Arabidopsis thaliana: one gene and its partner. The protein of the gene in region 1 interacts with the protein of each later gene in a pairwise test. Each region holds a gene or a part of one and is shown in the gene's direction. Other genes may lie near its edges.

The links. The genes of interacting proteins can lie anywhere in the genome.
Region 2: the proteins of RHA2B (region 1) and NAC019 interact in a two-hybrid assay, tested with the Arabidopsis thaliana proteins (one study listed by BioGRID).

Annotation. Positions count from the first base shown.
Region 1 is NC_003071.7:96,577-103,847, forward strand, and holds RHA2B (RING-H2 finger protein 2B), read left to right. Parts: upstream 1-3,907; 5' UTR 3,908-3,979; coding exon 3,980-4,570; 3' UTR 4,571-4,948; downstream 4,949-7,271. Other genes in the region: BAT1 (bidirectional amino acid transporter 1), read right to left, coding at 5,788-6,135, 6,212-6,341, 6,423-6,712, 6,786-6,967, 7,047-7,266. UniProt on the Arabidopsis thaliana protein: E3 ubiquitin-protein ligase involved in the positive regulation of abscisic acid (ABA) signaling and responses to salt and osmotic stresses during seed germination and early seedling development.
Region 2 is NC_003070.9:19,694,990-19,702,740, reverse strand, and holds NAC019 (NAC domain containing protein 19), read left to right. Parts: upstream 1-4,258; 5' UTR 4,259-4,296; coding exon 4,297-4,477; intron 4,478-4,574; coding exon 4,575-4,843; intron 4,844-4,945; coding exon 4,946-5,449; 3' UTR 5,450-5,818; downstream 5,819-7,751. Other genes in the region: AT1G52900 (Toll-Interleukin-Resistance (TIR) domain family protein), read left to right, coding at 1-339, 446-530. UniProt on the Arabidopsis thaliana protein: Transcription factors that bind specifically to the 5'-CATGTG-3' motif.

The DNA of each region.
Region 1 (7,271 bases):
GGAGGAGAGTGTTAAAGCCAAAGGTTTTGTTTACTACTATTAGTAGTCGTCTACTTTGGCATCACCTACTCCCACCACCAAAAAGCCTCCTTCTCTTTACCATTTTATTCCCCAATTTACCGTAAATGACGCTTTTAACCTTGAGGGAGATACTGGTAATTTTTTCTAGTAGTTCATCAGTCTCTCAACAACAAGAATCTGAGAATAACCAAAACTCTACCGTTTCGTCTACCCAAACTATCCTTCTCCTACCATTGCCTCTTCGTCTAACTCAATCGTTTTTCTTAATTAATCAAATTACATGACCTATCACCTCTTCAAGGAGTGTGATGAAAGAGAATGGGCCGGATATTCCCTTTTTTATCTGTTGGGCCACAATAGTAAACAACTTATATAACAGGCAAACTCTTTTACGTAATTGATTTTTGGGCCCAATAGTAATAGGGCTTAGTTTCAGATAAACAATAAGAGCCCACGACAGCTTTGGTGTTCTTGGGTCTTTTTCTTTTTTTTTTTCCTTTTTATTAAGGCAACCATCCAATAAGTCCAAATATTGGTGTTACTCGTAACAGGCGAGGAAGGTGTAAACAAGAAGAGAGAAAATGCAAGTTCCGAGAAACGTTATATATATGCGACATGAGAAAGTGGCAACTTTTTCTTTCTTGTATCTTACACTACTTTTTTGTATTTTTAAAGTATCTTTGATTTGATAACAGTTTTCTAAAACTGTTGGCCACAATTTAAATGCATATTCATATGTATGTTCAAATTTACAGCAACTCAGTTTGACCCCACAAAAAAAGGGAAAAACAACAACAAAATTCAAGACTATATGACTAAATATGTTCAAGTGCTTCAATTATATATTAGGTACAAGAATATGAATATAATGCCAATCTTATCTTAATCAGAGTAGGAACTAGTAATTTTCATATTTTAAGACAAGTTTGAAAGTTGTTTTAATTAAACATGCGTAAAGTTCCATTCTCTGCTCTCAGATGAATGGCATATCGATCATAATTCACCTAGTACTTCTTCTAGAGTGTTCTACGCTGCCTCTACGTATTAGAATATAGTATATGTAAAAGGTGTTGGTGCAGATCTTTGATTAACACTTTGGTCAGTCACATATCTAATGATTTTTAAACGATAAACCCCAAAACGCGTCTTCATACAGTTCACATGCATATGTCACCCAGAAGAATTGACTCTCAGATCTTTCTAGGTGTTTGTGTTCACACTTCGCCACGCTCTCTCTGTTAGAAACGATTTAAATATACAAACAAAGCTAGTCAGTGTTTCCCATTCGAAAAAAGAGAAAAGACAAAAGAGAGTGTGTTATTTGTCTTGTAATGAAACCTATTGAGTATGGTTGACTGGTTGGTGCGTAGGGAGAAGCAGAAGGTGATAGGACCACGTTGTTGTTTATTTGGCAATTCTTTTACAAGCCCTTGGTCCTGTTTTCTCCATCTTCTCTACTTCATTTGTCATTTTCATTGTTTACTTATTAAATTTACATCCATGTTAACTATTTTCATTTAAACAACAACGTACGTGGACCTATCGACTGATCATCCCTTGGTCGACAAACAATGATGGATCGGAACTTGATTTGGTTTTCTTGAGTTATGTGAAAAAGCATCGCATTATCAATTTTAACAACTTTTCTATAGCTCTTAATTCTGTCTAGCTAATAGACCTATAGTTTCTAAAACAAATACTATAGTCTTGCAAGCCGCATGCTACCTAATGCAGTATATATTTGGATAATTTCAAATTGTCTTTATTATTTCCTCATATTTTTATTTAATTATTTAGATAATTTTTATTTATTGTTTTATGAATTTTCTAAAATTTTGGATTTATTATAATTAAGACTTTTGAACTTAAAATTGTATTCAGTTAATTGATTAATAAAATTAAGCTTTTACCTTTTCAGAGAAGAGTATTCTCTAATTCCTTGCTTTCGGTAGATCTTGAAAGATTTCAACGGTTATAAAAAGATGTAGGATTCGGTATTCGAAGAGAATCAACGAATTCCTTACGTTCTCTCGTTTCTGTTATTCTGAGGAATCAACAGATCCAAAAAATTCTAGTTTTCTGGTATTCCGAGGAATCAACGGATGTCTAGTTCTATCCATTAAAACTTCCGCTACTTCAGTTGGTATCAAAGCTAGAACTAGAGATTCGTTGATACACTTAACAAACAAACAAAAAAAACTTAAAATCAAAATTTGACACACACACCAAAATGAGTTACCTTTTACTCATTCATGTTCATACTATATAAAATATATTTTCGTCGAAACAATCACTCCTCCTAAAATATTTTAAATTTTTAATGCAAAAAATATTAGTTGTGTTTTGTTTATTTTATAATAAATGATTTAATCATATAAACAACGAGGATCGATAAGACACTCGCATGCTATTTTTACCAGGATTACATTAGAATGAGAGTCACAACCACATAATGAAGACGATCGTCTGCTAGCTATGTGACGAGAGATGGTAAGTGGTTTCAGATTTTATGATGTAAAGTGGAAGGAGTGGTCAAATAATTAGGTCAAAGAGAGTCGAGGTGGTTGTCACTGGTTGGCTATATCGATGACTAAACCACACACCTACACCTTCAATTTCTATTTTAATTATGTTTTCTGAATAACTTAATACTATCTTATATGATCGTTAGTAACAAATATTTTTTTAAAAAAAATTTATGTACATTCATAGGTAGCACGAAGTGAACAAATACTTGAATTTTCTTGCGTCAATATAGAACTAAGATCATACATACATGATACATAATGAATTTATGTTTATATTAGATATGCGTCACAAGGGAGACAAGAAGCGAAGCGAGGATCGTGCTAAAATCTTGGTCAAGTTCACAAATTATGAATTGCTTTATATATTAAACAATCTCTCACAAAGGATGGATAATTTAATTAGTTGGTTCCCTGTCAGTTGTTAATTAAGAATTAATCACAAACCGCCCACTTCCTTTTTATATTCCAAAAATGCTTCTCCAATGTTCTACACTTAAGTATATCATATAATTAAATGAAACTATGAATGAGTAAAATAATTGAAACATACTATTTAACTAGCTAGCTGGGGGATTTGTAAATAATATAACAAAGGTCGACAATTGATACTTTTTCCATGTTGGGAAATTCTGAAAACTGATCAATATATATGAGTAATCGACAAGAAAATAACTAAAACTTAGACTTTGAATGGTTATAGCGGTTTAAGAAGACAAAAATGTCTATATACCAAATCGTGTTTTATTTACTATTTATAAATTATATTATGTAATAGTGCGGATTCCAAAAAATAAAAAATAAAAATTGTTGTGGACTAACTACGAACCGTCTTTAAATTAAATTTGCAGCGGATTGTTGTTCGATCTAAAATTAGTATGGACTGAACCGCTAACGGATTAATCTGCACTAACCACAACATCCATTCAAAGACTTAATTATTTACTATCATGTTATATTTGTGGGGCATTAATAAGTGAAACATATTAATAGTAATTAAAATGAATGATATGAGCCATGATCTTAGGACTAAACATTGGGCATGCTAAATTGCTAATAATATCTATCACAAGAAGAAGCGCGACACAAAGGAATAGATGCGATCATGAAAGATCATTATGATGATTCAGTGTTTTTCTTCTTTAGGTTCTAAAGCTCAATGATTGAAGGCCTCTGTAAAATTTTGTTTGGTCTTTGGAGATAGAAAGGAGCTTAGATAGAGATATGAAATCAGCATCCAACAACATTTTAGAGTCATTCAATTTTGACTTTAGTATCTCTTTCCAATAAACCGAAAATGTGGGTGAGAATAAAGAAAAGTGAAATGTTTTGGGTCATATTCATCATAAAATGCAAATAGCGGGGCGAAAAGTATGAAGATGGGAAAAAACGAAAAGGACTGAAAGTGAAAGGGCTTAACCAAAAGCAAAATAATGGGTCCCACAACACGTGGCCTGTGTCATTTCTTCTTCTTCTCCATCCATATAAAGAAGAAGAAAGAGATGAGATGCAAGGTAGTATATGCAGCAAGAACAACAACAAGAACCAAAGTAACAAAAACAATCTCTAAAACCATATCAATGGGACTACAAGGTCAGCTCTCCGACGTGTCATCAGATTCGATCCCACTGATGCTACTGGCTCTCCTCGCAACTTTCTTCAGACACGTCCGGTCTCTTCTCCTCTTCCCTTCTTCTGCCCCCGTTGTTGTTGTTACTTCAAACCTCAGCGTCCTCGCCGACCAGCTCAACCTAAATCGCCTCTTCTCGTACCGCTACTCCGACAACGCAGCCTCTGACTGCATCGTGTGTCTGTCTAAACTCAAGACCGGAGAAGAAGTGAGGAAGCTAGATTGCAGACACGTCTTCCATAAGCAGTGTTTGGAAGGCTGGCTTCAACATCTCAACTTCAATTGCCCGCTCTGTAGATCTCCATTGCTACCTCATCATCATCAGGGACATGGCAGTGATGCGTCGATCTCAGCCTTCCCTCTTCGCTCTACCTCTACTGCATCATCTCATTGATTTTTATGTGAAGAAAGAAGAAAGAAGAAAGCAAGAGAGAAGAAGATGGAGGGAGGATGCTTTTTTATTTATCTTCCTTCTCCTCTTTCCTTTTTAGGAGAAGATTCTTATTTCTTACTACAGAAGATTGATTCTTCTTATATATCTATATATATAACCTTCTATATTTAGCTATGTTTTTGAGGAATCTCAGATCGGAAGAGAGGTCCTTTTGTTTTTCAGATTTCCACTCTGTAAATTCTTAGTATGAAAAGAATCAAATTAAGCTTCATGTATTCCTCCTTGGCTGGTAAATCTTTTTGTAGTATATTTGACAAAGCCTACTACTATTTAATTTTGCATTCTAGACAATCTTGAAGCTTTACACTATGGACTTTGTTCTGGTTTCCACACTTTGCATTATTGCTATTGACGTTAAAAGGTAGGTAACACTATTTATTGTGTCGAAATTCTACAAGAAAATATCATAGCACCTCATTTGGTAACAAACTACACTTGTATTAATTTTGTTATTGTAAAGACTGTCTGTGTCTAAAGTTTATCAAAAATATCCTATATGTAGTAATGTGAGTTGCAAATTCGTCCAATCTTTTAGTAACTAGTTGTAGCTCCGCTAAATAGTTTTCGTTTTCTATAGATCCGCCCATGATAACACCCACATTTCAACTTGAATAAAGTTGTACTAAGCGATCAATACAGTATTACAAGGTGTTTCTGAACATATGCTCAACTAACAGTTAACACATTATAATACAATATGAATAAGACTCAGTTAATCATTTAACATTTCTATTTGCGAATAAGAATATGCTCTAGTTTCGTAAACAATGTGTACCATATCCTTTTGAGGATTGAGGTCCGTTTTGGCAGTATTCCTAACGAATTCTAAAATATTTAGCTAATTCAGATAATCAAAATGCTGGAATAGCTCAGTTGGTTAGAGCGTGTGGCTGTTAACCACAAGGTCGGAGGTTCGACCCCTCCTTCTAGCGATTACTTTTTTTTTTTTAACTCGTCACGTAGTTTCCTTAAATGGGCTTCGTCGAGGCCCATGCCAACACTTTGTGTTGATTATTATTCCATTCGCTTTAAAGTTTAAAGTTGTGGCGATGAAATAAAAATGTGACAGATGTGTTGTTGCTTGTTGAATGTATAAAAGGGTAAATATCAGCTAGCTAACAATGGCTTTACTATAAATCAACCCCTGAAACGTTGTTTCAGCTAAGAATGTTGGAGATGGGACCCGTAAACCAGTGGCGGGCACTGAAAAGCCAATATGAGAGGGTTATGGCCACCAAACCAGCAACTGCCACCGGAGTGTAGTTGAGTGTCTCTGCTGTTATGGGATATGCCACGGGTAAGGAGAAGAGGACTGATATGGTTACAACCCACAGGACTGCCACCCACCCGACTACCATTCCGTATTTTCCCAGGCTGAATGGTCCAGGTACGAAGGTGTTGCGCGCAAGCGTCACTCTCAATATAATCGGGATTGCGTATGCTATGTACAGTCCAATCGTTGCGATCGACACCATTGCTTGGAACGCCACTATGCTCCCCAGTGACTGCCAGTTTCATCTCATCAATCAGCAATCCCAACACACAAAAGAGAGATACACAGAAAGAGAGAAGGGGACTTACGGTGAGGGCCATACAAAATGATATGAGAGCAGAGAGCCAAACCGCATTAATGGGGACCTCTCTGCTGTTCACTTTGTGCCATAACGGCGACATTGGCATCGCTCCATCTCTCGAAAACGCATACGCCATCCTGATTAACCAAACACACATATGATCAAGTCCTAAATGCAGACAGAATATGTTTTAACCAAACATGAATGTATATATATACCTGGAATTGCTGGTGACAGAGCTCATGCCACAGAAAAACACAGCAACCGCAACAACGCCTAAGCACACGATTCCACCAGTACCGCTCCCAAACCTATTCTTGAAAGCTAAGTAGAAGATCTCAGCAATGGCATACCCACCAGAGTTGTTGGTCTCACTCAGAAGAGAAGGTATGTCTGTGACGGCATAGCTTATGCCCAATATATAACCCCATCCAAACAGAATTGATATACCAATTGCACTGATTATTCCTCTGGGCCCGTTCTTGTCTGCGTCGACTGTCTCTTCTGTCTGCAAATTTACTTTTTGTTCAATCCTCAAGAAAAGCTAATCAATCATTAAAAACAGAATCCATTACACTCACCATGTGGGCAGAGGCATCATACCCTGTAATGGTGTACTGGCTCATGAGGAGTCCCAAAACGAATATGTAAGCGTAGCTGGTGATGCCAAGGCCATTATCAGTGTTGAAATTGGTAAAGACAAACTTAGTGGTTGCTCTTTCCGTAGAAACCAAAGGAATCAGAATCATGAGCACCAAAACCCCTGAATATAAGAGATGCTTGATTGATGATTGTTGTTGAGACATGACATGAAACACAGAGACAAAAGAGAGATTGGGTACCGAGGAGATTCCAAAGAGCAGCAAGCTGTCCAATGAAAGACAAGACGGAGATGGGGAGGCTGTTGAGAAGAGCGTGGATGAAGAGGATCCCACCATGGATACCAATCACAACAAAGTCTGATCCTTTATAACCGCCGCCGTTTCTACCGCCGGTGGAGAGAAGGACGATCACCTGAATCAACTGTGCCAGAGAGAAGTCAACGCTGGCCGTCACTGCCCACTGCA
Region 2 (7,751 bases), on another chromosome or scaffold:
CAATCTCAAATCTCGTAACTTACGTCCATTCTTGGATTCCAAGAACATGAAGCCCGGAGATAAGCTTTTTGATCATATCAACAACGCGATTCTCACTTCTAAAGTCGCTGTAACGGTTTTTTCTCCTAACTACTGCGATTCATATTTCTGTCTGCACGAGCTTGCTCTTATAATGGAGTCCAGAAAAAGGGTCATACCGATATTCTGCGACATCAAACCTTCACAACTCGATGTTATGATCGAGAGGGTGACATGTTCTGATGATGAAATCCAAAGGTTTAGATGGGCCCTTCAAGAAGCTAAAGATATCGTTGGACTCACGTTTGATTCCTACAAAGGGTAATTTATTTTTTCTATCAAATCTTTTTATTAACTATCTCTGTTTTATTATTATTGTACTTTTGTTTATTCAGTTTCTGATTTAACTCAACATTCATTTATTTAGGAATTTATCGGAGGTTGTTACAGTTGCATCGGATGTTATCGTCGAGAGATTGGTCGAGTTAGAGGCTAAAGATGAAAATCTATAGGCGTTGGAAAACATTTAATTAACTCCAAACTAAATGCTTCTCTAAATATTTGTTTTTCTAATCCTACGAGTAATTCATTTAATTGATTTTATTCATGCATATATATCTCAAGTCTCAACATACATATATCAATGGTTGACAGAATTGAGGCAACAACTTCTTTCCTTTTTGAGGGTTTATTATTTGTAGATTTTTCTTGTTTATAAGTGGCAAGTAATTTCTTTGTAAGTTCAGATATATAAAATAACATTTTCTCTTTCTAATACCGAAAGTTGTTTAGTCTTTTACACCGAAAGTTGTTTGTTTGTTTTCAACATCACATTTCCAAAATCATTTTAATTTATTGTCATCTCCAGACTCTTAAATAAAAACGATATATGTGTGCATAGAAATACATAGACCTTTTTAACAGGTGCATGGGTAATTTGAATAGTCAAACATGGTTCCTATTGAAATACCTATATTTTATATAATAAAGTTTAAATATACACATAAATAAATAATTAATGGTTATAACTTATAACTATATTAAATAAATAAAAACACTGTCCACATTAAACATATGTCCAATACAACTTTTAAACAAAATCTAAACATAGTTTGAGATGACCCTAAACAAATACATTATGATATCCATATATTCTCAACGAGTAAAATAGTAAATGATGAGTGTTAATGTCAAGAGCTTGTTTCGTGGGCTTAAAAAGAAAAAGAGCTTGTATTGTGGGGGTTGGCAAACGTATTTTTGCGTCGATATCTAGTCTCACTTGTGAAAATTTAATGTGTCTAAAGTGGGTTTGGGCTTAAAAAAAAACCCATCATATTTAACATTGTTCTTCAAGCAGTATGGGGAGTCAAAAAAACCAACTCAACACAAATCAAATCGAACAGTTCCACCGAATTTGATATTTTTTTAAAGTTCACATTCACACCTTTAAATAGAAGCTGGTGATACATTTCCTAAGGAAGTGATTACCAGAATATCCCACTCACTTTTTTCTTTGTTTTAAGTTCCGAGAATAGTCTTCAACTATTATTATCAAGTAATGTTTAACTTTCTATTATTTAAAAATAAACTAAAATTTTTTAGCATCTACTTACTGATAAACGTAGTCACCAGTCATATTAGTTCTTTGATAGAAACGTACTTTAGTGTTTTGAGACGAGATTTTTTTTCGAAGGACCACTATATTATTTGTTTCGAGTTTAAAATATTTTCTAACTAATGCTAGAGAGTAGTCAAGCCAATCCAAAGTAAGTTATCTTTCAAAACTCTGCTTAATTTGTTTATTAACTAAATCAGATTCTGTAAACTTTTTTGTACCATGGTGGATTTAAATTTCAGCTGATAATTTTAAATGTTACGGAAAAAAATTCTGGATCAGTTTTAAATAATAAAAGAAAAAAAAATACGAATACATTTAACAAATATATGTCATCGAGTAAGATAACCTAAACTTTCGGATACACACACGTGTAAAAACAAAAGTACTTTGTTCAAATTCCAAGAAATTATTAACTGGAGAAAAACAAAACAAAGGATAGCGAAAATGTTATAGATAAGGCAAATTAAAAACCAATCTTTGACTACCCATTCGTTGTCATTTGATTAAATGATAAAATATAAATCATTGATTTAAAATGAGAGATAGAGGTAAAACAAAATATAGAAAAGTAGCATCAAATGGCTGTTAGCACGAAAACTATTGAGTGAAAGAAACCCTAAATCTTTAAGTTCCACTATAGAATTAGATAACGATCATAATATAGTGATATATTTGATATCTCGTCTCTGTGACTCCGTCTAATCTTTTGAAATGATGTCCTCTTCCTCACTTCACTTCATCAAAAAAAAAAATGTCATATATATGTATGCTTAAACTTTCATAAAAAATTTAATGATTTCAGTAAAATGTTCTAGGGTTAGATTATATTATAATATAAATTTCAAGAAAAATTCATTCGTAAATTTTTTTCATTTATGAAATACCACAACTGCATGAAAACTAATCAATGGATAAATACAGACAAAAAAAATTACATCAATACGTGATCTTATAAAACAAAATCTGAATATATGTATAGGGTCTATAGCTAATTTCAATTTCGATTATATTATATGCAAACTTGATGTGGATTACTTATTTTTCGGTTAAGATGTTTTATCTATGGTGGATTTACATAAAACTCAACAAATAATTTTGCTAAGTCCTTAAATTAGTTAGACATATTGGTGAAACCGACACTAAAAATGTAGATAAAAATATTAATTTATACATTATCCAACAAGGATTTTATCCAAATCGTGGTATCTATGTGATCTAATGGTTATAAGTGGAATTTAGGTGTTCTAAACATGCTCAATTAGTCAATTATATACTTCACTTTCCAACTCAAAACAGCATATTCCGAGCGAACAATATGGATTTTTATACTATAACACCCAATTTCTAAATTAAACAAAAATTGCGACCATTATATATGGTTCTATCTTTTAAAAACCATGGAACTAAATGATGAAACTATGAAGTTTTTTTTTCACAAAAAAAAAAAAGAAACTATGAAGTTTTTTACCCTATATTTTTTTTAAAAAAGATACTATGAAGCTTTGAAGCAGCTACTACGAGTTGTGTTTGTTAATGTTTCTGAAAACAAAAATAAATTGAAAAAATCTTTAGTCAACATCAACTCGTGTTTTTTCTCTTCTCCCATCGTTATAACGTCTTTTTGACAAATGACAAATTGCGCCTAACTTCTACGATAGACACGTGGACACGTGTCGTCATGATGTAGTTTTGTCCGTATGGAAAACGCTTTCCATGTTGTAACCTAAGATACATTGAACAGTTCCTTTGTCCTTTCAACTTCGCTTTTTTCGAAGCTCTTTCCCTTACCCTACCACAACATTACGCGTGTCCTTCTTATTACAACATTTGGCACATATACATTTCAGAAAACCCGTCAACAAAAAACACGTGAAATAAAATATCTCTTCCTTTACCAGTTCACATATTTCATGGTTACTGTTCAATCATTTCGCCAAAAAATCTTTTTTTTTTTGGGTACAAATTTGGCCAAATAATTGTTCCTTTATTCTGAAATTCAGTCCCCTACACGAATATATAGACCACCAAAAAGTACATGGACGGTTCAATGTTGATTAAATCGACCAAGATAAAGTCAATAATGTTTTGTGGTTTAGATGTCGTCTGGTTACTATATTGACAATAAACTTTGTAAATAAAAAATATCCTTAAAAAAAAAAAAAAAATCCTAAAAGGAAAATCGAAAATCATTTTTTTAATTTGTTTTACATTACTTAAATAATTAAATAGACAATCCTAGGAAAAAAATCTCGATTAAATTAAATATTATATGTGAACTCCAAATGTCTAAGCAGCAAATTTCCAAACATTCATTTGAATCTTATTTTGATTGGAAAATACTTTTAAATTTAGCGGAACATTATTGATAAATAGATGAATAAACAAATGTTAATAAAAAAAACCATTTAAAAAAAATAGTACGAGGAAGAGCTAAATCTACTCATGTAGGTTCAATGAACTCAAGGGATTGCATAAATCACGACGATCTAACTGACACACGTGTCAGAATTCAAAAGTGTTTATAGATAAACACAAAAATGGGTCCCATATTCAGTACACACGTTAATCAGCGGCGGTGGATTCACCTATACACTGCGTCCATATATAAGTAGCACGAGACCCAAACATTATTGTCAAAAATAAGAAAGAAAGAAAAAAATATGGGTATCCAAGAAACTGACCCGTTAACGCAATTGAGTTTACCACCGGGTTTCCGATTTTACCCGACCGATGAAGAGCTTATGGTTCAATATCTCTGTAGAAAAGCAGCTGGTTACGATTTCTCTCTTCAGCTCATCGCCGAAATAGATCTTTACAAATTCGATCCATGGGTTTTACCAAGTAAGTATATACTAATTGAAACCCTTCTCAAAAAATGTTTATTTTTCTTAACAGAGATTCATAATTTTCTTGGTTTTTCTTCTTTTGTGATTTATAGATAAAGCATTATTTGGAGAAAAAGAATGGTATTTTTTTAGTCCTAGGGATAGAAAATATCCAAACGGGTCAAGACCTAACCGGGTTGCCGGATCGGGTTATTGGAAAGCTACGGGTACGGATAAAATAATCTCGACGGAAGGACAAAGAGTTGGTATTAAAAAAGCTTTGGTGTTTTACATCGGAAAAGCTCCTAAAGGTACTAAAACCAATTGGATCATGCATGAGTATCGTCTCATTGAACCTTCTCGTAGAAACGGAAGCACTAAGGTAACAAATAAAATCTAAACATTAATAAATACTATATCTTATATTTTCTTCTTGTAGTGTTTTGAATGACCTATAATTAATATTCTTGTTAATTTTCTTTAGTTGGATGATTGGGTTCTATGTCGAATATACAAGAAGCAATCAAGTGCACAAAAACAAGTTTACGATAATGGAATCGCGAATGCTAGAGAATTCAGCAACAACGGTACTTCGTCCACGACGTCGTCTTCTTCTCACTTTGAAGACGTTCTTGATTCGTTTCATCAAGAGATCGACAACAGAAATTTCCAGTTTTCTAACCCAAACCGCATCTCGTCGCTCAGACCGGACTTAACCGAACAGAAAACCGGGTTCCACGGTCTTGCGGATACTTCTAACTTCGATTGGGCTAGTTTTGCCGGTAATGTTGAGCATAATAACTCGGTACCGGAACTCGGAATGAGTCATGTTGTTCCTAATCTCGAGTACAACTGTGGCTACCTGAAGACGGAGGAGGAAGTCGAGAGCAGTCACGGGTTTAATAACTCGGGCGAGTTAGCTCAAAAGGGTTATGGTGTTGACTCGTTTGGGTATTCGGGGCAAGTTGGTGGGTTTGGGTTTATGTGATGATGAAATGCTGACGCAATAAAAATAAGTCGTTAATTTTTGTCCCGTGGCAAATCTTATATGTATTTGAATTTCAATTCTTTTGGGTTAAGAGGGAGACTCATAGATTTAGATGTAGATTTGTAATCTTTCATGCATAGAAAATTTGACGAATAGATTTCGTAACTTTATTTTGTTGCTGTTTGGTTATCTTTGTATTGGTATAAATTTAGTGGATTGAAATTGCATATTGATATATTGTTTAGTTGTGGCTAGCTATACATGTAAGTTTAATTGTTTGAGCTATCCAAAAGAATATATTTAACTATCTCATGCATTTTTAATATAAGCATACGTTATGTAATCATAAACCTACATACAAATCTTTTCTGTTTACGAATATATAGTAACACACCACAAATTGAGAGACTTACTGTATATACTGTATTTGAAAAAGGAGCGTTGGGTTAGCTGAACTTAGGTGTGTAACGTGGGCTTGCTTGTTTGACCATCTTGACAAGAGATTGTAGAGAAACAGTTTATACCGTACAAGTTTCAAACACATGTTTATTGTGGGTCGACTAAATGCGTTTGCAATTAGGGTATGAATGATAAGAGTAAAACACGGAATACTCGATTTTTTAACTGTACCTAGGAAAATCCGACCTAATAGTTTAAATTTAATTTCTGACATGAATCATGTAAAAGTTTAAGAACATCTCTAATAAAGAGTTTTCAAAACATTAAAATAACGAAATAAAGAATTGAAAGTACCAAAAATAACCATTTAGTTCAAAAGAGGATGAGAATACTCAAAAAGGGTTTTAAACTATTCGAGATGTTCTTATTTTGATTTAGAGTGCGCGTTAACACAATCTCTAGTACACATTAGCCACATTGTTACTGAATATATGTGGTTCGCTGATCATACAATATAATTCTATCTCCTTCCTTTTTCTGTATCCTCCATGACCATTACTGCTTTTCAGAAGCTTTGACCATCCTTTGAGATATGTCTATTTTCTGATATTTACCAAATAACAAAGTGGATCGTCTTGACGAAAGCCCAAAAATTAATTATCTCTGTTTTTTTCTCCTCTAATAAACTAGTCTTCTTCCGTCGAGTCATGCACTCATACTGATAATATCATTATTTGAGTGTGGGAAATCTTCGGGAGGAGAAACTCATATTTGTCTTTCCTTAGACCTTGTTGATTTTGTTGATGTGAGAGGTAAACGACACCCGGAAAATGGTCGAATGAACGGATTTTTTTACAAACATCTACATGACCTTCACTTGGTTCGTTCTCTATTAGTCGAATAACATGACATACATGCATCATAATTAAAAACACACAACAATTGTATTTATTTTGTATTTACAAGTTCCATTAAAAATTTAGATACTCAGATTTGTGGAATGTAAAATTCCAATAGCAAACTAGTGTATTGATTGGCCCATGGGCCAAATGCCCAAATATTAATTTTCCATCTATTTGGTCATTACTCAAAAAAACCTCTAATTAAGGTGTAACTCAGAAGAAGGAATATATAATTGCATTCTTTAAAAAAAAAATCATCTAACTAAGGTTAAGAGTTATAAATTTGAATAAAAAGACATTCAATACAGAAACGTGGAGGTTCGTAGTCACATATTGTCGCCAAATAAAAAAAGACAGTACATACAGTTTTTGTGAATTTACTAATCAAATATAGAACTTGTGTCGGGTTTTAAGCGGATCATGTTTTATAATTATAGAATTGTAATGTGTTATTGGTTATATTATATAAATTTCCGTTATACCTAGCTATAAAAATTAGATATAATCTTAATATTCTTTTCTAGACTTCATGTCTAGCTAAAATTTTAAACTGAAGAATAATCCTTACACGATTTATAATTTGAAATGGAGGAAGCATAAATACAAACAAAAATGTTTCCAAATATAAATTTAACAACAACAACACACACAAAAAGGGTTTTGGCTTTAAATACACGAGGGGTTTGTATTTATTAATAAATTGTGGCTAGACTTCAAAGCAAACGCAATATCTTAAATCATAACAATGACATTTGTGATTAGAATAAAAATACATTTAACCGAGACATAAATTTTTATTTGTTTGGTGGTATTTGCACATGCGTGATCTACGAGTGGTTCGAAAAGCTCACTAATTATAGATGACAAAGCAGATAATTAAGGAGCGGTCCTTAATCACTTTCCTAAACAAGCTTTAAAACAAGGCTCGATTAGTAAAAGCAAACGACTACAAGAATCCAGCCTTTTTTTTTTTACGGAAAATATTTAATTAACTCTGGACA